7 linked regions of the Macaca fascicularis genome follow. The protein of the gene in region 6 interacts with the protein of the main gene of each other region in a biochemical or structural test. Links are inferred from orthologs where the notes say so. Each region holds a gene or a part of one and is shown on either strand. Other genes may lie near its edges. The genes, in order: NTRK1, GABARAPL1, SCN5A, RAPGEF2, UBE2D1, NEDD4 and MLANA.

The links.
Region 1: of the proteins of NEDD4 (region 6) and NTRK1, one has a biochemical effect on the other in vitro, tested with the Homo sapiens proteins (3 studies listed by BioGRID, with this or other methods). The link is inferred for Macaca fascicularis from reciprocal best matches to the Homo sapiens genes NEDD4 and NTRK1.
Region 2: the proteins of NEDD4 (region 6) and GABARAPL1 form a complex in vitro, tested with the Homo sapiens proteins (2 studies listed by BioGRID and IntAct). The link is inferred for Macaca fascicularis from reciprocal best matches to the Homo sapiens genes NEDD4 and GABARAPL1.
Region 3: the proteins of NEDD4 (region 6) and SCN5A form a complex in vitro, tested with the Homo sapiens proteins (3 studies listed by BioGRID, with this or other methods). The link is inferred for Macaca fascicularis from reciprocal best matches to the Homo sapiens genes NEDD4 and SCN5A.
Region 4: the proteins of NEDD4 (region 6) and RAPGEF2 form a complex in vitro, tested with the Homo sapiens proteins (2 studies listed by BioGRID and IntAct). The link is inferred for Macaca fascicularis from reciprocal best matches to the Homo sapiens genes NEDD4 and RAPGEF2.
Region 5: the proteins of NEDD4 (region 6) and UBE2D1 form a complex in vitro, tested with the Homo sapiens proteins (14 studies listed by BioGRID). The link is inferred for Macaca fascicularis from reciprocal best matches to the Homo sapiens genes NEDD4 and UBE2D1.
Region 7: the proteins of NEDD4 (region 6) and MLANA form a complex in vitro, tested with the Homo sapiens proteins (2 studies listed by BioGRID and IntAct, with this or other methods). The link is inferred for Macaca fascicularis from reciprocal best matches to the Homo sapiens genes NEDD4 and MLANA.

Annotation. Positions count from the first base shown.
Region 1 is NC_088375.1:104,208,924-104,212,423, reverse strand, and holds part of NTRK1 (high affinity nerve growth factor receptor), read left to right. Parts: intron 1-473; coding exon 474-548; intron 549-847; coding exon 848-919; intron 920-3,017; coding exon 3,018-3,086; intron 3,087-3,500. UniProt on the Homo sapiens protein: Receptor tyrosine kinase involved in the development and the maturation of the central and peripheral nervous systems through regulation of proliferation, differentiation and survival of sympathetic and nervous neurons.
Region 2 is NC_088385.1:10,685,472-10,688,971, forward strand, and holds part of GABARAPL1 (gamma-aminobutyric acid receptor-associated protein-like 1), read right to left. Parts: intron 2,466-3,500; coding exon 2,347-2,465; intron 1,139-2,346; coding exon 1,073-1,138; 3' UTR 1-1,072. UniProt on the Homo sapiens protein: Ubiquitin-like modifier that increases cell-surface expression of kappa-type opioid receptor through facilitating anterograde intracellular trafficking of the receptor. Involved in formation of autophagosomal vacuoles.
Region 3 is NC_088376.1:100,616,734-100,620,233, forward strand, and holds part of SCN5A (sodium channel protein type 5 subunit alpha), read right to left. Parts: intron 3,392-3,500; coding exon 3,250-3,391; intron 2,573-3,249; coding exon of another isoform or gene 2,569-2,572; coding exon 2,468-2,568; intron 1,392-2,467; coding exon 1,121-1,391; intron 1-1,120. UniProt on the Homo sapiens protein: Pore-forming subunit of Nav1.5, a voltage-gated sodium (Nav) channel that directly mediates the depolarizing phase of action potentials in excitable membranes.
Region 4 is NC_088379.1:164,243,166-164,246,665, forward strand, and holds part of RAPGEF2 (rap guanine nucleotide exchange factor 2), read left to right. Parts: intron 1-425; coding exon 426-649; intron 650-2,094; coding exon 2,095-2,304; intron 2,305-3,500. UniProt on the Homo sapiens protein: Functions as a guanine nucleotide exchange factor (GEF), which activates Rap and Ras family of small GTPases by exchanging bound GDP for free GTP in a cAMP-dependent manner.
Region 5 is NC_088383.1:88,326,482-88,330,498, reverse strand, and holds the start of UBE2D1 (ubiquitin-conjugating enzyme E2 D1), read left to right. Parts: upstream 1-1,217; 5' UTR 1,218-1,413; coding exon 1,414-1,437; intron 1,438-4,017.
Region 6 is NC_088381.1:32,300,887-32,304,386, forward strand, and holds part of NEDD4 (E3 ubiquitin-protein ligase NEDD4), read right to left. Parts: intron 3,388-3,500; coding exon 3,333-3,387; intron 3,243-3,332; coding exon 3,184-3,242; intron 1,865-3,183; coding exon 1,799-1,864; intron 1-1,798. UniProt on the Homo sapiens protein: E3 ubiquitin-protein ligase which accepts ubiquitin from an E2 ubiquitin-conjugating enzyme in the form of a thioester and then directly transfers the ubiquitin to targeted substrates. Specifically ubiquitinates 'Lys-63' in target proteins.
Region 7 is NC_088389.1:93,149,924-93,153,952, forward strand, and holds the start of MLANA (melanoma antigen recognized by T-cells 1), read right to left. Parts: upstream 2,801-4,029; 5' UTR 2,751-2,800; intron 1,240-2,750; 5' UTR 1,215-1,239; coding exon 1,138-1,214; intron 790-1,137; exon of another isoform or gene 1-789. UniProt on the Homo sapiens protein: Involved in melanosome biogenesis by ensuring the stability of GPR143. Plays a vital role in the expression, stability, trafficking, and processing of melanocyte protein PMEL, which is critical to the formation of stage II melanosomes.

The sequences.
Region 1 (3,500 bases), on a different chromosome or scaffold from region 6:
AGGCATGCCTGATATAAAAGCAGAACAACAATGTGAGAATGGACTTATGTGTGTGCACGTGAGAGATGGATGTGAGCTTTGTTTCTGTGTGTCCATGTGTGAGCCTCTTCCTGAAGGCACATGTGCATGTGCATGGCGTCATCTGTGCAGATGCTTATGCCTCTGCGTGTGTGCATGTGCATACTGGGTGTGTGCATGTGTGCAAGAGGTATGTGAGAGTGTGCATATGTGTGAGTGTCTGGGGATCTATACATGTGTGCGCTTGTGTGTTCATGCACACACATGCATGTGCATATGTATGCATTCGTATGTGCATGCCATGTAAGTGTGTATGCAGGTCTGAACAGGTGCATATGCGTGTGCCTGTGATGTGCATGTGGCATGTGCCTGTGTCTTGTGAGGGAGCAGGAGGGTCGACATGGGAACTCAAGTGTGGGCCTGAGCCCTGTGACTCCCATCCCCTCTCCCCACAGCTACATCGAGAACCAGCAGCATCTGCAGCATCTGGAGCTCCGTGACCTGAGGGGCCTGGGGGAGCTGAGAAACCTGTGAGGAAAATGGGGACTGTGGGTGTGGAGCTCAGCGTGGGCCTGGGGGAGACCAGAAGGTCAGGGAGGGCTCAAGGGTCTGAGGCCCTGGGAGGACCTGAGAGGCTGAGGACTGAGGGACTGGGAGAGGTCAGGAAGCTCAGGGCTTTGAGGGGTCTAGGGTAGCTGAAGAAACAATGAGGGGCCCGAGGAGGGGTAGGAGTTCAGCACAGGGGACTGGGAGGCTGGGATGGGCAGGGAGGGCCAGGGGCCCAGAGTAGCTGAGACCTGGGGACTGATCCTCCTGCACCCCTCCCCAGCACCATCGTGAAGAGTGGTCTCCGTTTCGTGGCGCCAGATGCCTTCCATTTCACTCCTCGGCTCAGTCGCCTGTGAGTGTGGCCAGTGCTGGGCAGTGGGGATTGGGGAGGACACCCAGACTTGCACTGCTAATGGGCTTGGCTCTCCCCGGGGAATGATTGCGAGGGGCCCAAGCCTGGTCAGGGAAGTCACCTCACCCACTCTCCTGGGGCTTCCTCCCATCTCCCTCAGGGATGGCATGCTCTTGCCCCCGCCAGCTAGAGGTCCTCCTTGCCATCTCACTTCCATGGTCCATGCTGCAAGGATACTTCTCATAGGTGCCCGCCCCATCTTTCTTCCCAGGGCTCAGATACACACCAGTGCAAAGGGAGCAAGCGTCAGGAGCAGGACTCCTGTGTTCTGGCTGGGACTCCATTTCCCAGGGACGCATTGACTTGGCTCCTAGGACATCCTGGGAGCTGGGGTGTTAGGTCTGCCACTTGTCACCCTCCTCATTCTCGGGAGTCATAGCTATCCCTCCTGTAGAGCAGCGGACCCCAACTTTTTTGGCACCAGAGACTGGTTTCATGGAAGACAATTTTACCACAGATGGTGCGGGAGGGGAGGATGATTTCAGGATGAAACTGTTCCACCTCAGATTATGAGGCATTAGTTAGTTCTCAAAAGGAGCGCACAACCTAGATCCCTCGCATGCGCAGTAGTTCACAGAATCTAATGCTGCTGTTGATGTGACAGGAGGCGGAGCTCAGGCGGTAATGCTCACTCACTGCTGCTCACCTCACGCTATGCGGCCGGGTTCCTAACAGACCACATATTTACCCTGTTTATAGCCCCTCTTCCTTGCTGTCCCCCTCTTTTTCTTTAATTTATTTTTTAAGAGTCAGGGTCTCCCTCTGTTGCTCAGGCTGGAGAACAGTGGCACTATTTTCCCATCTGTGGCCTGAGAATTGAGGACCCCTGCTGTAGGACACAGAGGGTCATGGGATGGGCAGGAGGGACCATCAGAGTCCCTGGCAGCCCCTCCCTGGCCTTCCGAGGGTGGGAGTTCAGCTCCCCTGTCCCCCAACATGAGCAGGCGGAGAGATGGGAAGGATGGTGGGGCCGACATTCATGGAGTTATGCGGGGTCCTCTACACTCTGCTGTGTCCAGCAATTTAACAAGGCAAAATAAAGTGATGTCGTATCACCATCTATGCACCGGGGCTTCCGTTAAAAACGTGTTCAATGACACTTCACGGTACTTATGTCAATGAATCTTCACAATCAACCTGGTGAGAGAGAGAGTGTTCTTGTCCCCATTTCATAGATGAGAATTCTGAGAATCAGAGAGGTTGAGTTTCTGGACTGAGGTCACACAGCTGTAAGTGGCAGGATAGAACTTACACCCGCTCTATCTGGCTCTAGAGTGGGTTGTGTCTTTGGTCCCTATGTGGTGGTACCTCTCCAACCCAGCCACCACAAATTCTAGGTTGACTAGGAAAAGAGAGGGGTCAGGATAGGCCCCTCAGAGGCAGAGGGTCCCAGCAGCAGCAGCCTGACAAAGGGCACAGGGCACTGGGGCTCCTACATCATTTTCCGGTGTGGCCAGGCCCCCGCTGGGCTCACTTTTTCCACCCCTACAACGAGGGGGCTGGGGGTGTGGGTCCTTTCCTGCCTGACCTTTTAGTCACTGAGGAGGGCCTGAAAGGAGGAGGTGGAGGGGAACTGAGGAAGTGCGTTGAGTTCCTTGTGGTCAGGTAGGGTCAAGGGAGTGTGGCAACCTCAATCCTCCCCCTCTTCCTCTGGCCCCGTCCTGGGCTCTGTGGGGAGGGGAGCACAGATGGAGCCCTTCCCCCAGCTGTGGCCTCAGCACTTTGCCAGCTGGGGCCAAAGCAGTGGGGGAGGGAGGAGCGGCTGTTCCCTCAGATCCCCCTCCCTGGGGTCTGGAGAGGTGGCTAAGTAGGGTTAACCCTTGTTGTCCCAGGGAAAGGAGTGGGACTCAAAAAGCCCTCCACCACGCCCCCCCATCCATCCACACACACTGCCTTCCAAGGCTTGTTCTGGCTGCCTAGACTGGGGAGGGGGAGCCAGATGTCAACTTCTTTCTCGGCTCCTCCCCTCCCTCACTCTGGGTCAGAGTGAGGTCGGGTCACTCAAGGGGTCTGTCTTGCTGTGTCTCCATGCCCGTAGGAATCTCTCCTTCAATGCTCTGGAGTCTCTCTCCTGGAAAACTGTGCAGGGCCTCTCCTTACAGGAACTGTGAGTGGGGGCACTTCCAGGGACAAGAGCACCAAGTGTGTGTGTGCCTGCGTGCACTTGGGTCTGTGGGATGGCATTGGGTCACTGTGTCTGTGTGGCACTGCTGGGGGGGTCTCTTTGGGGACTATGTGCATGCCAGTGAAACCCCCATCAAAGCAGGGGCTGCAGGACCACCCGTTAAGGGGGCTACTGCCCTGGGGAGCTGGCCTGGATGACTGTGTGTGTGCTGGGCCTGGCTGAGCAGATCCCAGGCCCACTGTGTGTCCACGGCACATCTGGCAACATTCCCAGGGCACCTTGCACAGGGGTGAGTGGGGCGCAGGGGTTCATGTGTACCTGGTGGGCACTTAAGGCCTCTGGGTCACTCTGGGAGGCTGTGCCTTTCCCTCCTTGTCACCATGCTGAGAGCCCTTG
Region 2 (3,500 bases), on a different chromosome or scaffold from region 6:
AATAAATCAATAAAATCCCCATGATTTACTAAAAGTCATCCCTCCAAACCTTTCTAACTAGCAGCTGCAGTGGATGATAACCAAGGAGGGAAGCAGCTGGCCATCACATAGCATTCCTGTGCGTGTGAGCCTGAAGGGACAGCAGCATGGGAGCAAGAATCCTGAATGAGAGGTGTATATAATTACCTTACTTCACACTTGCTCCCTCCCTACATAAGACATCTCTGTCCTGATACATGGAAAATACTAGAGGAGATGCTAAGAGTGGTTTTAGTCTACAACTGGAAATGCCTGAGACTTAAATTCCAAGGTAGGGGTGAGATAAGGGGCACCAGAGAGAAAGAACAGGTTAGACAGAGATGCTCAATAGTCTTGTCAATTCCAGTTTAATGCTATTTAATAACAAAACAATCTTCTTAATCATAACCACCTTTATGTCTAACCCCTATTTTCCAAAGGTAAGAGATCGCTGTCTAAATTTCTGGGTTGTGGTCTACTGCCACCCCTGGGGTGGTACTGTGATGTTTGAGTGAGACTGCAACTGGGATGGGAGAAAAGAAGTGTGAGACAGGAAAGAACAGGGGCCACAATGCATCAATTACAGTGGGTCTCTTTTGGTCCCCAGGTATGGTCCACTACCACAAGTCCCCTTTCCCTACCTGTCCTGTGCAAATGTCAAAAATAGAATCGCTGCCCAAAGAGAAGGGAGCACAGGGAGTTGCTGCTGGACTACCATCATCTCTGGCCCCAACTTGTCCACCTCCTGACCCTTCTATGAAACTGCACAAAAATTAAATCTCAGGAATGCTGTGAAATTACATCATCCGTATTCCTCTACCAAAGCCAATCCAACAGCTCTGTCCTGACATGCTTTCTCCCTGGGCCGAGGAAGCAGCAAAAAATATCAATTGAGCATGTGAAAATATGATGACGGTGTGTGCGGTGTAATGTTTCTAGATGTCTTCACCTTCTGTCTCCTCGCGGTGGGAGTCACCCTCTTTCCCCAAGTCGCACGCACACCCCTCCCCTACCCCCAAGTCCAGGTGCTCCCATCTGCTGGGCTTCCAACCACTCATTTCCCATAGACACTCTCATCACTGTAGGCCACATACAGAAAATAGTCTTCCTCATGATTGTCCTAGGGGAAGAGATAAGACAACAGTTTAGAAAACATATTCATTCATTAGCTGTAAGATGCTAAGCCTCACACAACCTTGTAAAGCAGGTATGGAAGGTATCGTTCATCCCCATTTAAAAGGGGAGCAAAGAATCAGGAGATGTGGTTGGAATTACACTTTGAGCTCTGAGTTCACAAACAAAAATCCTTCACTGAAAACATATTACACATAGGTATCAGGGATATGAAGATGACTGGGGCACAGTACTCACTCTTAAAGAGCTCAGTCCTAGCAAGGGGAACATAGATACCACAGATGGGATATATAAGGGGCAGATACTAACAGGGAATATATGCTATGCAATAAAAGTTAGATTCAGGATTATTATAAATTTATGTAATCCATTAATAGGGCATAATGAGAAGGAAGCGTCTTATGCAAAATACTGCAAAAAATAATAGTTACAATCCTAGGTTATATTTTTAGTAATAATAAAGTCCTTTACTATAGTTTCTCCAAATTCTGACACTTCCAATTAAACAAAATCACATAAAAAGTATTCCTCCTCAGTTTATCTGTTAAGACAAATGAATCCATTTACAGACTTTGCCTTAATTTTATATTTCATTTGATCTGATTCATTGTGCCCAGATAATGTGGAATCTGTTTCACAGTTTTCGTTTTGTTCTAAGAAGAAGTTTCCCCCTGTTTAGATCAATGTGTTTGTCTCAAGCCAAAACTTCAGAGTTCACAGAGGAAGCTGACTGTAGCGGAGGCTGGCCTCAGAGTTAGAAGCTGGCTTTACTATTATGTGCTTTCTCAATCTATTGCTAAATGGGAGTAAAATAATGAACTGGATTCTGAATGCATTACAAATTACAGGCTACCAACAAGAAGAGCAGGAACTGCGATGGGCTGATGCTTTGGAACTTTTGCTATCAGGAGTCACTTCCTGCTGTTTCAATAAACAATCCCACATTAAACACTATAGTCAGACAAGACTGAGAAGAGATTTCAAAAGGATTAAATCTAGTAGAGTGCCTAATCCCTGAAAAACAAGTGGTATCTAATCTCTCAGAGCCTTACACTGCCATATGTAAGAGGATCCGGATAAATAACACCTTCTGCCCCACTTCTCAGTTGTGTTATCAACATATACTAGAACAAGAGCTAGAGGATGCCAGACTGCCCTGGACGGCATCCAGTATTGTTCGGCTAGAACCATTACCTCATACAGTTGGCCCATGGTAGCACTGGTGGGAGGGATAGTGTTGTTGACAAAGAAGAATAAGGCGTCCTCAGGTCTCAGGTGGATTCTCTTCCGGATTAAGAAGTAGAACTGGCCAACTGGATGATGGAAGAAAAAGGCAGACAAGAAAGGAAGAAAACAAGGAATTAGTAGAATGGTAAGTCCTGGAAAAAAATTCAGTTGCATTTTTTTCCCCTTAGAGTCAGTACCAGTTTTATATACCACCTGAGAAGAGCCAAATACTATCCTGGAGCTTTCAAAATAAAAAGGGAAACTCAGAAGCCCGTACAGTCCCTGATATGCCATAGTGGACTTTATTCCTCCTTTCCTCTCTTATTCAATCTCAGACCTCATGTTAGCATATCCACTCAAAGCCTGAGGACTACACTGAAGGAATACCACGTGCATCCAGACCAAAACATTCCCATCATTGTCTAAACCCGACTTGAAACACTTTCCATCCCCAGACCCACCCTAAGAAAAGCTTAGCAATGAAAGGGGTCCACTGGACACTGGTCATCTTAGCACAGTCACTCAACTCAGTGTTGGGGCATTAAATAAGGTTCAGTGCTTTGCCTTTACCTGAGAATACTGAAAACTTTCTAGATGGCTGATATTCAAACCTATTAACTCTGAAGCAAATCAACAAAATCTTTCCAGTGTCTCCTGGATGCAGTGTGTATTCCATTAAGGCTCAAGATGAAGACTGAATATATGTCTTATAATCCCAAACAAAATCTACAAAACTTATTTTTAAAAAAATGTAGCTTAAGAAGATGTAATCAGGAAACTCTAAAGCATAATCCTCTCAAGAAACCAGACTGGTTTTCTTTTTGGAACAAATTGACATCACAATTAACAAAGCTGAATTTTTTTTTTTTTTTTTTTTTTGAGGCGGAGCGTCACCGTGTCACCCAGGCTGGAGCGCAATGGCACAATATCGGCTCACTGCAATCTCTGCCTCCAAGGTTCAAGCAATTCTCCAGCCTCAGCCTCCTAAGTAGCTGAGATTACAGGCGCCCGTCACCACATCCAGCTAATTTCTGTATTTTTAATGAAGACAGGGTTTCACCATGTTTGCCAGTCTGGTCTCAAACTCCTGACCTCAGGTGATCTGCCCACTTCCGCCTCCC
Region 3 (3,500 bases), on a different chromosome or scaffold from region 6:
TGAATAGAGATTTCTCCAAGGAAGATATATAAATGACCAACACACACATGGAAAGATGTCCTGCATCGTTAGTCATCAGTCATTTGGTTTTGCAAATCAAAACCTCAAGGAGATATCACTTCACACCCACTAGGAGGGCTCCCATAAAAAGAATGCAGGCAATAACAAGTGTTGGTGAGGGCGAAATAATCGGAATCCTCATACATTGACAGTAAGAATGTAAAAAGGTGCAGCCAAATTGAAAAACAGTTTGGTGGTCCCTCAAAATTTTAGATAAGAGGCTTTCAGGGGCTGAGGGAGAGGGGAAATGAATGGGGAGTGACTATTAAATGGGTAGAGTTTCCTTTGGGGAAAGGAAAATATTCTAAAATTAGATAGTGGTGATGGTTGCAAAGCTCTGTGCATATACTAAAAAACACTGAAATGTATACTTTAAAGTGACTTTAAAGTTAACCATGAATTTTATGGCATGTGAATTATGTCTCAGGAAAGCTGTCATATAAAAAAAAAGATCTGAGCTCTGAGGTCAAACAGACATGGGTCAGGATTGGGTCTCTGCTTCTCCCTAGCTGTACAATCTCCCTCCTTTAGTGCTGAATTGACTGGGTGAATTGCATGAGGCAGGTATGTCTGAAAGAGTCTGGCATACACCTTGGCGGTTAGCTCCAGAATTTTCCATCTTCAGGGATAACTTCTACTCTGGAGGGCCACCTACTCCCCATCCTTGGGGACCCACCTCATCCTTAGTGAGCTTCCTTCTCCTTCAACCTAAGTGCGGGCAGAACTAGCCTCCACAGCACCCACTCCCATTCCCAGACTCATCCTTGAAGCTATCTAAGCAGTTAGAGAACTGTGTTCCCAGGTCCTCTGGAGGGTGGGGCCAGGAGGGAGTGCTGGGTCCTCTGCCAGGTTGGTCTCCTTGACCCAAGTGGACCCTTCCAGATAAGTTCTCTCTGGAGAGGTGTGTGTGTGCATGTATGTATGAGGGGAGGGGGGTGAGAAATGCACTGAAAAAAGAATGAAAGAACCTAGGGTTGTACGTGGCATTCAGCAGAGACTCAGGGGCCGGACGAGAGGCCTGGCTGGGGAGGGCTTCTGTCCAGCTGACTTGTATACCCACCCACGATGGAGAGGATGACAACCACGAAGTCGAAGATATTCCAGCTGTTGGTGAAGTAATAGTGGCGCAGGGCAGCCAGCTTGACAATACACTCGCCTGTGAAGATGGCCACAAAGAGCAGGTTGATCTTGGCCAAGATGTTGATTTTCTCAGGACTTTGGTCATCTGTCTCCACCATCATGGTCACCATATTCAAGCAGATCAGAAACATGATGGTGACATCAAAGGCCTGCTTGGTCACAATGTCGAATATGAAGCCCTGGTACTTGTTCTGAAAGGAGAGGCAAATGGAAAGCGCTCAGCAGGGCCCTTGGGAGGCTGGCAAATGCCCGTTTCTGCCTCTCATCCCAGGCCACCCACCCTCCCACTCTCCCTCTAGTGAGCCCAAAACCCCTGCCACACTGCCACAGAGAGTGCAGAGGAAAAACTCCTGGAGGTTAAAGCCATTGGCTCTCCTGCTGAAATGCTTCCTGGGCTTCAAGGCCCAGCTCCAAGGCTCCATCTTCCATGAGGACTTCCATGATGGATCTTCAGGGGGAGATTTTTCCTGCCCTGAGCATCCTTAGCATACTGTTCACTGTGCTTCCCTTTCAGTTGCCACAGTCTGAAGGCTCAAGGGTAAATTTCAACTTCAACCCTAGTAATTATGTCAGTGCTTAGATTAATATATTTTCTCTACTTTTTAATGTAATTTATTTATTGTACTAACCATATTTACATGTGTCTTTAATTGTAAATCAGCCCAGATTATTTGGGGAAATAAATAAGATTTTTTATATATATATATATACACATTTTTTTTTCTGTTCTCCCACTTAGAAAATATTATAAACAAACACACACACACACACACACACACACACACACACACACACACACACACACATTTTTTTGGATAATGGCTTGATTGGGCCAAGGGAGTCAGTCTTTGAGAGGACCCCACTCTCCAGAGCTCTTGGCTCTCCCCACCAGCTAACTCAGGAATCCGGCTCCCTGACTGTTCTGGGGGTCCAAGGATGAGGCTCTGAGTGGGGTGGGGTGGGGCTGTGAAGGCTGCCCTGCTTTTCCCGAGGAAAGCCTGCATCCTTGAGGGGAAGGAGGAGACCTGCTCAGAGACAGAGGGTTCCTGTGGGAGGAGAGTGTCCCGGGATGCTACATCCTTCTCATACCTTCCTCCCTATCTGTATGAGGCTGGGACCTCTCTTCATGCTCAGACATCTGATAGCGTCCCTCAGGCTGGGCTGAAAGACTGTGAGGTGGCCCTGATGGCTGGCCGTGTGGCATGAAAGCTTCCCAGGGACCCCAGAAGATCCTCCCCACTCCCACAGAACCAGGAGCTTAGCTCACCAAGGGCCGTGGGATGGGCTTCTGGGGCTTCTTGGAGCCCAGCTTCTTCATGGCATTGTAGTACTTCTTCTGCTCCTCTGTCATGAAGATGTCCTGGCCCCCTAAGTGCAGAGAGAAGGCACCAACCTCATTCTGGGGTTCTCAGAGGCCCCAGCATGGAGGGCACCAGGATCTTGCCTCCTTGATGAGGATGCCAGGGTCAACCACCTCCTGGCTTCCTCTCCTGGACAAAATATGTCCCTATTTTGCACCACAGATTCTTCCCCAAATCTATTTATCCAGGAGCCCTGTCCCCTTTCACCTTGAGATCTCTCTGGCTTTATGACCTGCAAATCCAGTATCCACCCCCCGCCCTTTCCCCCTCCTAGCTCAACCAGCCTTCATGTTCTCTCTGTTCACTTAGTTTGTCTACAACCCAGTTATAGCCGCTCTGATGAAGCTCTGGGAAGACCCAGGGCCTCTGCACAGGCTTTACCCATGACCTCTGATCATGGACCAGGTGAACAGATGCAGCTCTCACACCAGCTTCTCCCAGGAGTCTCATCTCTCAGGTGGATTAGGGCAGACATGGGGCCTCCCACCAAAGCCCCTTCTTATGTTCTTACAGGCCTAGACATGTTACATCCCTGGACACACCCTTCTCCCCACCTCATTCCAGCAGCAGCAAGAAGAGAACCATCCCCAGCAGGGAAGGTGAGATGGGGCCCGGAGCCCGAATGGCCCCTCAATCCCCTGGCACCCAGCCCTGCTCTGCCCAGCCCAGCGGGGAGCTGGTGCTCTACATATCTTTTTCTTCTGTTGGTTGAAGTTGTCAATGATGACACCGATAAAGAGGTTCAGGGTGAAGAAAGACCCGAAGATGATGAAAATGACAAAATAGATGTACATGTAGAGGTTGTATTCCCACTGGGGCTGCTCTTCATACTGTGAGGGAGAAATCACACAGGGAGATCAGACAGGCTGGGGTCTCGGGGGTCACATGGGGAGGGGTGGGGGGTGGAGGCAGAGGGCTGGCTAGGGGCATCCATTCTGT
Region 4 (3,500 bases), on a different chromosome or scaffold from region 6:
GAACATTGTAGTTAATTTTATTTAAATATATATATAATATCCTCTTTAGGGGAAGTAATCTTAATGTTGCAAATCTTAATGATTATAGCTGTGTATTCTTGCATGAGCTTTTATATGTAATTATTATTTTCTGGCATCTGTGAGAGAACTGCCTTAAATGCTCTATAGAGGTGAAAAGTAGAATTTCCTAGTTCGAACTGAACAGGTGCCAAACATATATTTTTATATGTATATTATGTATAATTTTCTTTTAACTAAATTTTTTTAATCTATATTATTCTATATTCCTGTGTAACAGTTTACTCACTGGAATGAAGCATGTGACCTTTTGAACATAGAATATTAATATCAGTCTTGGCACGTTTTAAATAGATAAAGTACTCCCATGCTAGAGTGAGCTGCATATCTACCTTTTCATCTTCCAGGTCTCTCAGCCAGGGTAGTACAAACGCAACAGTGCTAGATGTTGCTCAGACAGGTGGTCATAAAAAGCGGGTACGTCGTAGTTCCTTTCTCAATGCCAAAAAGCTTTATGAAGATGCCCAAATGGCTCGAAAAGTGAAGCAGTACCTTTCCAATTTGGAGCTAGAAATGGACGAGGAGAGTCTTCAGACATTATCTCTGCAGTGTGAGCCAGCAACCAACACATGTGAGTTTTTCCTTAAAGTGGCTGCCGACTTTGGCTAGAATGCAGATTTGTTTCCTGTACAGTGATATGGGCAGTGACAAAATAAGGCTTAGTGCAGAGGGGGAGCTGGCAATCATGAGATATACTAGTCCTTCCCTTGAATGCTAATATTGAATACTGGATAGCACTGTGCGCGGCCAGGCCCTCAGGTCAGCTGGGTTAGTGTGTGGAGGATGACACTGTCCACATCTAGGGCAACCCGTTGCTTTAGTTTCACCTGGACACAGCCAGTACACATGCAAGGGGCGCATATGTAGATATGGCTCCCAATTATGTGTCTTGTGTTCTCAGAAAGGTGCCCCCAAATTATGGGCACCCTGAGGGGAGTTGGGGCATGAAGTTGAGTGTGCTGGCTGCCTTTTAACCACTAGCCCAGACAACACCCAACAAGAAATTCACCTACCAGTTAGAGCAATAATTCTGCTCCACAATGAACTACAATAGCCATTAAAAATCGGGTTAGTCTATAAATGGGGCAGTTTTTTTTTTCTAAATCTGCATCTTGACAAAGGCATTTTCCATTCAATACACTCCTGTGTCTTTTATGTGCAGATTTGAAGATGTCTGCTATAGGATTTAGTTTAGATAGGTGATTTGAGAAGATTTGGATTATTAGATTTACCCAGGACACTGTAGAAGCACTGTGTCATGGTGAAGAGCTTGTCCTCTGGAGTCAGAGTGGTCTGAGTTCAAATCCTGTTTGCCTCCTCTTACTAGCAATGCAGCCTTAGGCAAGTTACTTGACCTCCCTAATCCTTAGCTTCCAGGTGTGTATAAGGGAGGAAGCATACATATGTCATTGAGTTTTGCATATTAAGATACTACATGCACAATATTTAATTGTCCTAAATTGCTTTGCCATTTATCTACCACAAAATATATACTCAGTATAATACTCAAGCATTTTTGGCTACTGTTTGCTTGCATAGATAATTCTACCTCCTAGGAATGTGGTAGTAAATAGATTGCAGTTGGCAGCATTTATTAAATAAAAACTTAGTGCATATACTTGTCAACCAATTTGGAACACCATTTTAGAAAAATAGTGTCTGATGACTTGTCTGTTGTAGTTTTTATCATGTATTTGTGTCTTTCATATACATGGATATAACATATTGAACTACCCACATTTTTCTATATTTGTAATGGGGTGTTTAATAGTATAATCATCTTTTGAGATTGCTGACTTCATAAAGTAGATACCTTTGTCCTGCCACATACCTAATATTTTCTGTAACTAGGGTCCCCCATATCCATTTCTGTGCTTCATAAAGGCAGCAGGACGAAAGGTGTGCCTTTTAGTATTCTAACTGCAGAAAATGCTCACACAGTTCTAAAATTATCTTCTACATAGCTACTAGCATCTAAAATTCTTTGTTCTATTTTCAAACCCAAACAATTACCAGTGCCTAAGAATCCTGGTGACAAAAAGCCTGTCAAATCCGAGACCTCTCCGGTAGCTCCAAGGGCAGGGTCACAGCAGAAAGCTCAGTCCCTGCCACAGCCCCAGCAGCAGCCACCACCAGCACATAAAATCAACCAGGGACTGCAGGTTCCCGCCGTGTCCCTTTATCCTTCACGGAAGAAAGTGCCCGTAAAGGATCTCCCACCTTTTGGTAAGTGATTACATTCGTTTCTTTTTTTGGTGCCATTCACTCTCATGGTTTGCAAATTAGGAAAAAAATATTTGTCTTGGATAACTTTGTCTAATATATTTGAGTTTCTGTGTTAATTATTAGCTCCTAATAAAACCTGAACATTGAGCAAGTTAAACCTGACTTTGCCAATGGAAGGGGTTGTTTTTATAAGTAATATCTCATTTAATCACGCTAATTTGCTACGACAGGGTGTTAATAGAGAGTTATGTGTCCATTTAATTTTTGCTGAGTGCAGAAGATGCTTTGTTCATTTACATTATTTAAACTGGTTTTGCCTTACAACCAACGAACTGCTGGGATTTAAGCAGAATATTTTTAAGTTAAATGAATTGTCTGAAGGTAAATTCTTATTTGTTGACTCACTGATTCTATAGCTTAGGGGGAAAAATAAAGCAACTAACTCCTGAGTATGGAGGAGTTAAATTACACTTTATCTTTCCTACGAAAAGAAAAACATCTAGTAGTTTAGCCCCTTTGTGGAAGTGGTACAACACAATAATTTTTCATAAAATGCACAGCTTGTTTTTTTCTACGTATATGTGAATGAAATAATTGATAAAAAATAAATTATTAAAAATAAAGGGACAGTAGGGTGGGCGCGGTAGCTCACGCCTGTAATCCCAGCACTTCAGGAGGCTGAGGCAGGTGGATCACTTGAGGCCAGGAGTTAGAGACCAACTTGCCCAACGTGGCAAAACCCCGTCTTTACGAAAAATACAAAACGTAGCTGGGCATGATGGTGCATGCCTGCAGTCCTAGCTACCTGGGAAGCTAAGGCACAAGAATTGCTTGAACCTGGGGGGTGGAAATTGTAGTGAGCCGAGATTGCATCATTGCACTCCAACCTGGGCGACAGAGCAAGACTCTGTCGATCGATCGATCAATAGATAGATAGAAGGGAAAGAGTTTACTTAGATAACATTGGGTGTTGATAGCTACGTCCCTGCACAGTTACAGCCCATCTGTATGGCTGGGGTGAGAGTCATTTATTTCATAGACCTCTCACATGTTCTCTGTCCTCACCTCACATCTGATCAGCAAATGTCCTCTTTATTGATATTGGGGGGGAGAGTAAGAAAAGAACACCTTTCCTTGATACGTTTCTCCTTTCAAATATTTGTGTTGATCCCCTCATCACAAACACATTGAATTAT
Region 5 (4,017 bases), on a different chromosome or scaffold from region 6:
TTGGTGGAATAATTTGTTTTCAGTTGCATATATAACCAGTAATGGGATTGCTGGGTCAAATGGTAGTTTTGTTGTAAGTTCTTTGAGAAATCTCCAAACTGTTTTCCACGATGGCTGAACTAATTTACATTCCCACTAACAGCATATAAATGTTACCTTTTCTCCTCAGCATCACCAACATCTGTTGATGTTTTCACTTTTTTTTTTTTCCTTTTTGAGACAGAGTCTTACTCTGTCGCCCAGGCTGGAGAGCAGTGACTCCATCTCAGCTCACTGCAACCTCCGCCTCCCGGGATTAAGCGGTTCTCCTGCCTCAGTCTCCTGAGTAGCTGGGATTACAGGCGCCCACCACCATGCCCAGGTAATTTTTGTATTTTTAGTAGAGATGGGATTTCACCATGTTGGCCAGTCTGGTCTCGAACTCCCAACCTCAGGTAATCTGCCCGCCTCAGCCTCCCAAAGCCCTAGGATTACAGGCGTGAGCCACTGTGCCCGGCCAAGAAGCCAAGTTTTAATGGGTACACAAGTGCCCAGGAATTGGAGAGTGGGGAGTGTGCGTTGACTATTAGTCAGAGACTGTCAATGGAAGGGAAGGAGTCAACGATGGGAGTGAGAGCTCTGAACTCGGTGTTCGAAGCGGGTAATTTATGGGAGGGGCATACCTATGAGCAGACAATGCACTCAGACACGGAAGATCTGTGCATTGGACAGAAGAGACACCTTTTTCCTCTGCAGTAAGAACCAAGGAGGTAAGTAAGGGGTCTGATAGATATGAGTTTGTGCATGTGTGCTGGGTGAGTAATTGAGATAATTCATATATTTGAGAAAAGACAGTGAAATATTTAAAGGTAAATATAATAAAACCAGCTGTGGCACCTATTGGATAAGGAATTACTAACTGATGATTTAGAAATTCCTTTATGTGCGTTAGGAGCTCATTTGTTATCCCCATTTTACAGATGCGCAGCCCCAGGTTCAGTAACTTGCTCTAAATGAGACTGTAGAGACTAACTCCAGCACCCGGCAGCTCTCACCTTAAGCTGCCTGGCTAAGGTCAGCAGCAAGTAACCTGGCAGCGTCTGGGGGCCTGCGGCCGAGGACAGGGCTGGAACTACACTTCCCAGTATGCCAGGCGGGGCGGGGCGCGGCGGGGAGGGCGCAGGCTCCTTCCCAGAAGCAAAAGCGGAAACAAAAGAGTCTCGCCGGCCTCCCCGCCCGCACACTCGCGCACACTCGCGCTCGGGCGCAGACGGAGCAGGGACCGGCGCCCGGAGCGAGCCAGGGAGCGGCGAACCGGGGACCCACCGCGCGGAGCCAGCTGAGCTGCCAGCGAGCCCAACTCGCGAAGACTCACGCCCCCGAGCCCCGCAGCCGACCCCTGCCGGCCGGTGTCCCCACCGCGATCCCTGATCCATGGCGCTGAAGCGGATTCAGAAAGTGAGTGCCGGGGCCGGGCCTGGGGCTGCGGGGCAGCAGGGCAGCGGCGCCTGCCCACGCTGACTCGGCCAGTGGTCCCGAGAGATATGCAGGGAGAGCACGGGATGGAAGGGTGGGCCGGGGTGCGGGCAGGGAGCTGGAGGCTCGGGCCCGGCCAGCGGGCACCGGACAGGTTAGGTGGGAGCGGGGGCAGATCCCAGGCGGCCGGGGGAGCTTGAAGGCTGGGGGCCCGTGGCGCGCTCGCGCCGGGGCCGCTCCCGGAGCCCCAGGGTAGAGAGCCTCCTCCGCGTCCAGACCGCCCCGAAATCTGTGCTTCACGGTCACGGCTGGGTTTTGCCCTCCATGAGGCTAGTTTTGACCCCTGTCATGCTGTGTTTTCTCCAGGCTGTTTCTTAAGCCTGTCTCTTTTATGTTCTTGCTTACCCGGGCTCCCCGGGAGGGCACGGAAGGTGGGGTGGGCCTGCAGCCTTTCTCCGCGGAGCTGTCGGGTTGGTTCTTTCTCCTCTGCGGTTGGCTCTTGCTCAGTTGCCCGAATGGGCTGGAAAGCCCATTTGCGGCCAAGAAGCCAAGAGAAGGCTCCTGCCCCTTCTATTTTGGTGCCTCTGCTGCTGCCACTTCAGGTCACATAGCTGTAGCGAAAACATAGTTGCTGATACACAACAAGATGACCTCCTGGCTGTGATTCACGGTGAGTCAAGCCAAACAGGTTTTTTTTGCCCCTCATGGTAAACTTAGATGTAAAGTTCGAGACACAACATAAACTGTCGCAAATAGATTGTTTTGATGCTTTGACACATGGGTATAAAATGAGGAAGAAATATGTATCTTCATCCAACAACTGTTCACCCATCTCAACCCTGTGTGTGGAATTGTCTTTTTTTCACAGTATTTATTGCCACCATTTCAGAAGCGAACATCCTTCAGAATTGATATTCGGGCATTTCTTTCTGTTCATTTTTATTTCTTGTTGGTCTGTGTACTGACCCAAGTTTTAGGTTTTACAGTTACAGTTCACACTGGGAACATTGAGAATGTGTTTGTTAAATAGGGAGTGCTTTTCACTAAGTTAAGCAACAATGGTCAGTGTATTTTGTAGTTGTTTCAGAAGAAATTAATGCCCACATTTTTATCTACTTTTTTGACCAGTAGTCCATTATAGCAATAGTAAATGTTAGAGAGTGATAGTGACGTACACATTGTATTCTGACTAGCCACTAGTGGCATCTTTAGGTACAGAGGACAGCAACTTTTAGAGCCTGCCAGTTTTTTATTTTCAAATTCTAAATCTGTTGATCACCTGTTATTTTTTGTCCCATTTAAAGGTCGTCTCATTGTAAAACATACAGTTAACAATCAGCATCAGCATTTATTAAGTTATAATGTTTTCTTGTTTGAAGATAGTTCAGTTACACGTTGTTTTATATAAATATCCTAATTTTGAAGCCTCAGTCGGCCTCTTTACCATAACTTGCATACTTATTAATGACGACGTAATATTGGTTCACATTTGGATCAGAAAATGCACATCTTCCAAGGAAGTTTTCAAATTCTATTTCCTTCTTTCCTAGTTGTGAGAATTTTTCACATGATTTTGCACATACAAGAGCTTTTTAAATTATCACTGTGTTTTTTTAAGAGATGGGGATCTCAGTATGTTGCCCATGCTGGTCTTGAACTCCTGTCCTCCAGAGAGTCTGGGATTACAGGCACAAGTCACCATACCCAACTATAACAATAGCGTTTAAATGCTGTGCAATTTGTCCACAGTAAGTGGATATTCAAAGAAATATGAACATTGTTTGTAAATACCATACTTGGCAGTTCTCGTCAATCACCATGCTGAACTGGTGTATTTGATTTGTATTTATAATGTGTGTGTCCAAATCTTTTCTTTTTAGTATTTATTGGTTATTAGTTTATAGAGTTGTTCAGAAAAAAAAAATTACTTACATGGAATTGATATCAAACATGTGACAAATCGATATTTTGGAGAAGAAATTGGGATCATATACCATCACATCTCTGTGCGTTCATCTTTGGCTTCCCTTTCTGATATCAGGCAAGTTAACTTACACAAGTCTTTCCATTAATCACACATTCAGACCGTTTCCTCAAACCTTAGGGGTGATTATTTTGATTGATTCCCTATTTTTCCTCCTCCTTTATCTACCTCCTTGATTAGAAGCCAATTCTAGGTCAGTTGTGCCGCCTGCCATATGAACAGTTATACCATCTTCTTCTTTGATGTCATCAGTATAGACATTCTTATTTGAATCTTTCATGTTCCAACAAATGAAGATGTATACTAACTTTTGGCCTTTCTTCCTAAGCTCCTATTGAAGTGTTACTATAGTTTTCCTGTACCTAAAGTTGCAGACTGTAGAGCTGTGTGGAACCTCAGATAAGTCTGCCGTAGTGTACTAGAGGGTACCAGCACGGGAACAGCTTCTAGGGTAGTGTCTTAGAATCACCTGAGGGACGTTTTCAGACTGTCGTCACTTCTATAAATGGAGAGGTGTTGAATCCCTCAGATGGGTTGGGGTGGAAAGAAGACTGAGAACCACTGATGTTCTGGCCTGT
Region 6 (3,500 bases):
TCATGTCTTTACCCTTTCTTTTATATGTTTATTCCTTTACCTACCTTTGTTGCATTCTGGGTAATTTCCATACAAATTAATTAATTTCTCTCTTAATTCTCTTAGTCACCAATATGATATGTCATGTTGCTTAGGAACATGGGATCTGGAGCTAGACCACTTAGCTTTTCTACTTAATAACCATGGGACTTGATCACATTACCTATTCTCTGTGCCTCAGTTTCCTCATCTGTGAAATGTAATAGTAGTCCCTTCCTTACAGAGTTATTGTAGACATTAAATGAATAACATATGTAAACTTCTAAGAAGAATGCCTGGTATGCAGTGAGAGATCAACAAATATAATTGCTTTTATCTTTTTTTTTTTTTTGTATTTTGTGGCCTGTAATGGCATTGCCTCCCATCTCCTGCCGCCTGGAAGACATTAACAATTAGATACTACAACATGTTTCAACCACTTAGAGTGGCAAATGGAGAAGCTAGTGCTTCTATTCCTCCAGCATATTCTCATTAAGAATGAAAATATTTACCAGAACAATGAATCAGCAAATATTTAAAATCCCAAAGTCTAGAAGTAGAAAACAAATTTCCAGGGAAATTTTGACACAATGTTATCTTTTCTTTTTTCTTTTTCTTTGAGACAGGGTCTCACTCTGTTGCCCAGGCTGGAGTGCAGTGAAGTGATCTGAGCTCACTGCAACCTCTGCCTACCTGGTTCAAGCGGTTCTCCTGCCTCAGCCTCCCGAGTAGCCAGGATTACAGGCGGGTAACATCACACCCAGCTAATTTTTGTATTTTTAGTAGAGACGGGGGTCTGACCGTGTTGGCCAGGCTGGTCTGGAACTCCTGACCTCAAGTGATCCACCCGCCTCAACCTCCCGAAGCGCTGGGATTACAGGTGTGAGCCACTGCGCCTGGCCCACAAAATTATCTTTAAAAATGAGTTTAGAAAGTTGATGATATTTAAGGATTTTATTAGGGCATAAAATGTTTACACTAAAAAAACTATCATGTTTTATTTTTGTTAAAAATCTGGGTGAAAATCGGAGGTAGCCGACCCACCATCTTGAATCTTTGTGAAAGCCAGCTTCTGGCTTAGAATGCAAGAAAGTATAACCCAATATGGCCACCTAGTGGTAGTATTCCTAAACTGCAGGCAGAGGAGGACAGGATGAGCAAGTAAGAGGCACTAAAACTAGCAGACACCAACAGAAATGAAATAGATGGCCAGATGATGAGTTTAGTTCCAAACATATTGCATTTGTGGTGATGGGAAAAAGTGTACTGAACATAACTGATAAGCATACGGAGACAAGTCACAAGAGCACAGTTCCACTCATGATTGTATTTTTAAATTATGCAGAGACATTACATTTGAAGGTGTAGAGAATGAATGACTACCGCTAGAAAACAACAAAGTCATAAAACAAATCCAGACTCCTCCAACAGAGTCAAAGACTATGCCAGAAGATAATTTCCTGAGCCACTCTTGCTCAGGTTCTACAAAGATCAAGCCCCATAAACCCCACAAGGATACATCAGGTTAGAGCTCTGGAAAGCAAACTTTAAATGCCATTTTTCTATATTATAAAATATCTTACAAAATAAAGACATAAAATAATCAGTGGTCTGTAGTGATATATCACAGCTACACAAAAAATAACCATCCTTTCTCTATGAAAAACTGTTCACTCAAAGTTGTTACAAATATAGAACAAATTATTACTTTAAACAAAATTTCCCATTACTTTCCATCTATATATTGATGACTCAAGTATTTATCACAAACATCACTAACCTGCTTCTTCAACTTTCTTCGGAAGAACTCATACTTTCTTTTGTAATCCCTGGAGTAGGGCACTGCCTTTAGTGGGAAATTTTGGAAAAATAAAGAAGTTTAGGTTGTTTTTATTCTGGAACAATTTTTAAAGTTCCCGGCAGGGTATTTTATGAACATAAGTTAAGGGCATGAAAAGAAAAATATTTGGAAAGAAAAGTTTAATTAGAAGAAAAACAAATACAAAACTTTAAAATATTTAATTTCTCTGTTTAAGACAAAATTATATTCAGCAATTCCTATGGCTGTAATTTTCATTATGCAATATTCTCAAAATGCAGCATGCCAGAAATAGGAAATTTCTTCCAGGTAGAGAAATACTAGAAACAAAAATTTCCATTTCTAAAGAGACTTTCAAAGTGATTTCTCCATTAAACAGGCAATGTGAAAAGCGTACTTTTTCCTTGAACTCCAAGGAATTGCCTTTTTGAGCCATTAAAGGACTACATGTTGAGATAGTAAATAGTAATTAAAAAAAAGGTATCTTCAGTTTTATTTTTATGAATTACAAAACAAAATCTGAATAAAATGGAAGAAGCAGCTATAAAAAAGGATAATAATTTTCCTATCTGACTACAGTTATCATATATGGTATATTTGTACTTAAGTGTGGATGTGTCTTACATACTGGGCATTTACAATGATTTCTTTTTCTTTTTTTTGAGATGGAGTCTCGCTCTGTCACCCAGGCTAGAATGTGGTGGTGCAATCTCTCAGTTCACCGCAACCTCCGCCTCCTGGGTTCAGGTGATTCTCCTGCCTTGGCCTCCCAAGTAGCTGGGACTACAGGTGTCTGCTACCATGCCTAACTAATATTTTTTGCATTTTTAGTAGAGACAGGGTTTCACCATATTGGCCAGGCCAGTCTTGAACTCCTGACCTCAGGTGATCCACCTGCCTTGGCCTCCCCCAAAGTGCTGGGATTACAGGTGTGAGCCTGGCCTGATTTCTATAAAAAAATTTAAGAATGACCCTGGAGTGGATAGGGTGCTGCTGCTTCCTCATCTGGATACACTCTCTGCTCCTCTCTGATTTGTGGAGGACTGTCAACATTCTTGTTCAGACAGTGGCAGGCACCCACCTGAGCTCAGCAGCCCACACTGCCTTAGCATTCCGACTGTCTGGCTCACCTGTCTCCCACTGCTATTGCATAGGGTAAAGATAATGACGTCATAGAATCTTTTCAAATAACTGAGACTTGGAGTATGGGAAATGGGGGAGAGGAGACAGAATGGCCAATGTGCTTTCCTCTCAATGCCTGTAGGGTTATGCCCTTGAGTATCTGCTTTTGAAGAGACAGGTGAGGGGACAGTCCCATCAGAGCACATCAGCACAGAGAGACTTACTGGTCCAGTTATTGCTACATTCTGCAACCGAGGATCTTCCCATTGTGTTCTTTTTATATCTGAAGGGAAGAAAAAGAAAAATGGTGTACTTTCTCACAGATAAAATTTATTACAAAAAATAACATAACGAAAAATCGCATTGCACATACTGTGATTTATGTAGAAGATTCTTCCATCTGTGTGAGTTCTCTCTTCCCATCCTGGCTATAATGAAGAATGTATTTCAATTATGTTAGGATAGGGTTTTAGATGAATGGATAGAAAAACAGCACTGGTTGTATGGTTAACTTGCATATTCCATTCGATTCTTAGAAGGT
Region 7 (4,029 bases), on a different chromosome or scaffold from region 6:
AATACCATGGCCAATGGGCTCCCCTCCCTTAAAGAGTATATTTTTGCTCTCAGGACATTTTCTGAGAAGATACCGCTGCCCTCAACTCCAACTGGCCAGGGATATTAGAGGATCCTATACCAGGGTCTTCTGAGGAAATGCCGAATTCTTCCTCAGTACCTTTGTTGGGTCTTACATCTTGCTGGTCCCTGCGGTTGACTGTTAAAGATGGTTCAACAGCTCTTTCCAAAGAAAGAGCAGGTTCGCAGGGAGTTCTGGACAGACCACATAAGAGGGTATTGTCCTGTTGGAGTCCCACACAGAGGGTGGGGCCTCCCCTGCCCCCGCCGCCCAGCACGTACAGAGTATGCCCCTTTCCCACTCCCAGCACGTACAGAGTATGTCCCTTTCCCACTCCCAGCATGTACAGAGTATGTCCCTTTCCCACTCCCAGCACGTACAGAGTATGTCCCTGCAGCCTCTGGGTTTTCATCACCACACTTATATTTGCTGAAATTAATTTCATGCCTAACTCTCCCACTAGGTTGTGAGTTTTTTCAAAGATAAAAACAGTATCTCAGGCCAGTATACAATGCTTAGCATTTAGAAATGCTTAATCATATAAATAGTTATTTTTAATTCACTCATAATATCCAACACCTTTCCTTAGGATAAAGTTATGCTGCAAAGGCTGTGACTTCAGTCTTCCTCTCGAGTCTGGCTGTGGGCTGAGTCACATGCACCTGCCCATCATCCTCACTGGCTCCTTGGCAACTCACTTTTATTCTGTCTGCAAACCACCTTCAGGAGCTTGAGTGGAGGAGACAGAACAAGGATTGAGGAAAGAGGCATTGTGACTCTGAACAGATGTTTTTCCACTTGGGAACCTACAGATAAGGCCCAATAGTCAAAGTGCACCCAAAAATGGCAAGATCCAACCTTATACCATTCCCATCTTCCTGCCTATTTGGCCTCAGAGAAGCTTGACTGAGCCCCTTGTAGAAGCACAGAATCTCCTCCCCTTGTTGCCAGGGATGTTACTGTCTGGGGAGATAAACACTAGGGAGATTTATGAGCAGGCATGTGCTGGTGGAAGTCAGCAGGCTGTGTCAGCAAATGGCAAACTGGAAGCCCTGCTGGGTCTGGTTTTGAACTTACTCTTCAGCTGTGATGTAAGAGTGGCCGTGCCCCTTCTTGGGGTAACCATAGATGAAGTGAGCATCTTCTCTTGGCATCTTGTAGGGTCAGGGCACAGGACACCTAACAGAAGAAGCATGTGGGCATCATTAATGCATCCAAAGCCACCCTGTTCATCGTCTCATAAAGACCCACAACAGCATCCTTACTAGATGACCAATATCCACAGTCAGGACCCTTTGGTTTCTCTCTGTGAGGAGATTTGCACCTGCTTCTTTCATTGATATCAAGGGCTTTGACAATAGCTCAGGTTTCTAACCCCTCCTACTAACTAAAGTTCAAAGAAGAAACTACAAATGAAAGCAAAAAGACTCAGTTATTATTTGGTGAAAAAAATGTTCTTCATGTGCCTTCAATTTGACTCTGCACCATAAACTTCTAGAGAAACAAACAAACAATGCATTTTTACTGATTCTCCACCTTCCCTGGCCCAGGGCTGTGGCTAATAAAATAAGAGGAGTTATTTTTCTCCAAAGTTATTATTGGATATCAGTCCACAGACAGACAGAGGCTATGATACATAATGTATGTTTCCCAGAGCACCTGTTGCCTGTGCCTTGCGAGGGTGCATGAGGTTGAACGCTGAGCACAGCATCTTCCAGCCCAGCTTTTCAGCAAAGGAAACCACCCCACACAGGGGCTTCAGCTTGTCACCAGGCACTCCACCCAAAACAAGCTGAGGAAGCCCAGGACCTGACTTTATCTAACAATGTGTTTCCCTTTCTACTTAAGTCAATTTCTGCTTCTCTCTGATTCAAGTCCCTTGGCTAGCATTTTTTTTTTTTTAACTAGAACATATACAAATGAACAACAACAAAAACTGTCCATAAACTGCAGTGGCCGTAATTCAAGTATGCTCATTAAAAACCAATAATGGAAGCTCCTTTCCTTGTTATTGTGTATTTTTCTGCTCTCTTACTGTTCTCAGGAATTTCAAAGGTCTGATCCCCATAGAATTATATTAATGAGCTCCAGTTTAAAACAGCAGGGAGGGGTGGGAGAGAAGAGTGGGGATTTCACCACATGACCCCTTTCCACTGGGACATTTTATGTGTAATTTACCCTTCCCAGTTGTAAAAAAAGAAATTAAAGTCAAACTCACTGATCCTCTCAAGTAAATAATATAGGAGTGAACCCTGTGTTCAAAATGACAGAATGGAAACTTAATTCTTCATTAAATTGTTTTCATACATCCCATACCTCAAGCTCAGAACCTTGGCAAATGGTTTAGCAACAGCAAACGCGCCTCTTACTACTCAGACCAGAAGAAGTGGTTCTTTAAGTGACAGGAGAACACATCTACCTCAGGGAGGCTGCTTCTCCCCGGCAAGCTGCCATCCTGAATAATTGCTTTTCTTCTTGGTAGTCTTAGAGGACTGAGAGAGGATTCAGGAGGAGACTTTGTGAGCCCTCTGAAGTTGGAGACTGACAAACGTTGCAGAGAAATTCTGTTGACGTCACACATCAGTGGGGCAATGAGGGTAGGCAGAGGACTTCACCAGAATTTCCCAAATCCTATTCTGGGAGAAAAGGAGAAAAGGACTATGATTATAGCAAGAGGGCAATGCTCTTACCTTCCTGAATGAGAGAGTACTCCGTCCGCTGGCTGGCCGCATGTGTGAAGACTGCTTCTCTGGCTCTTAATCTTTTTGACTTATTTTTTTTCCTGGTCTTGAGTCCCATGATAGTCACAGGTTTAGATTTCTGAGAGGGTCGTCTGTAATTGCTTAATTGGCATGAAAGAAACCAACTTCATTCCTTCCTTCAAAAAGTCACAGCTGACTGCGGCCTCTGTTTTCCCCAGTCCCAGTGCTCTATCCTAGGGAAGCCATTTATTTTAAATGTTGGCCCCTCCTCCATAAGACTGCCACATCACATAAAATAAAGGATACCCAGTTAAATTTGAACTTCAGATAAACAATGAACAGTTTCTTAATACAACTATGTCCCATACAATATTTTTAGGATAAATATGTCCACATATTCTATGGGACATAAACTAAAAAAGTTATTTTTTGTTTGTCTGAAATCCACATTTGCTTTTTTCATGTCAGCTAGGTAAGGCGCCCATGTCATTGTAACACGGTTTGAGGGAGGCAGATCTCACACATGAACATGGAAACCTAATCATCACACGTATGAACCACAAAAGGATCTGAAATCCAAACTAAACTGGGTTTCCTATTCCCTCCCTCATCTTCATCTCAAAGGATTGAAGAGTCTTTAGGCTCAGGTCTGGAGAGCATCTAGTACCAGACTCTCATGATGAAGAAAAGGAAATAGAAAAATCCCTGAAACCTCCTCAGCTGAGCTCCATGAGTTCTCTGTGATGCCCTTGGAGTTAACTGTCCACTGGAGACAGTGAGTTTCCATGCATCTGCAAGGGATAGATGGAATTTTCTCTTTGCAGGTGGAATATGACCTACTTAGACATCTCTTAGGTTGGTGCAAAAGTAATTGTGGTTTCGGATCATGAATTTTAAATCATTATAACTAGGCTCAAACACATTTATTCATTTATTTATTTATTTATTTATTTATTTATTTATTTATTGAGATTGAGTCTCGCTTTGTCGCCCAGGCTGGAGTGCAGTGGTGGGGTCTCAGCTAACTGCAACCTCCGCTTCCCAGGTTCAAGCAATTCTCCTGCCTCAGCCTCCTGAGTAGTTGGGACCACAGATGTATGCCACCACGCCTGGCAAATTTTTGTATTTTTAGTAGAGACGGGGTTTCACCATGTTGGCCAGGATGGTCTTGATCTCCTGACCTCATGATCCACCTGCCTCAGCCTCCCAAAGTGCTGGGATTAGAGGTATGAGCCACCGCACCCAGCCTCAAATACATCTTTATTAA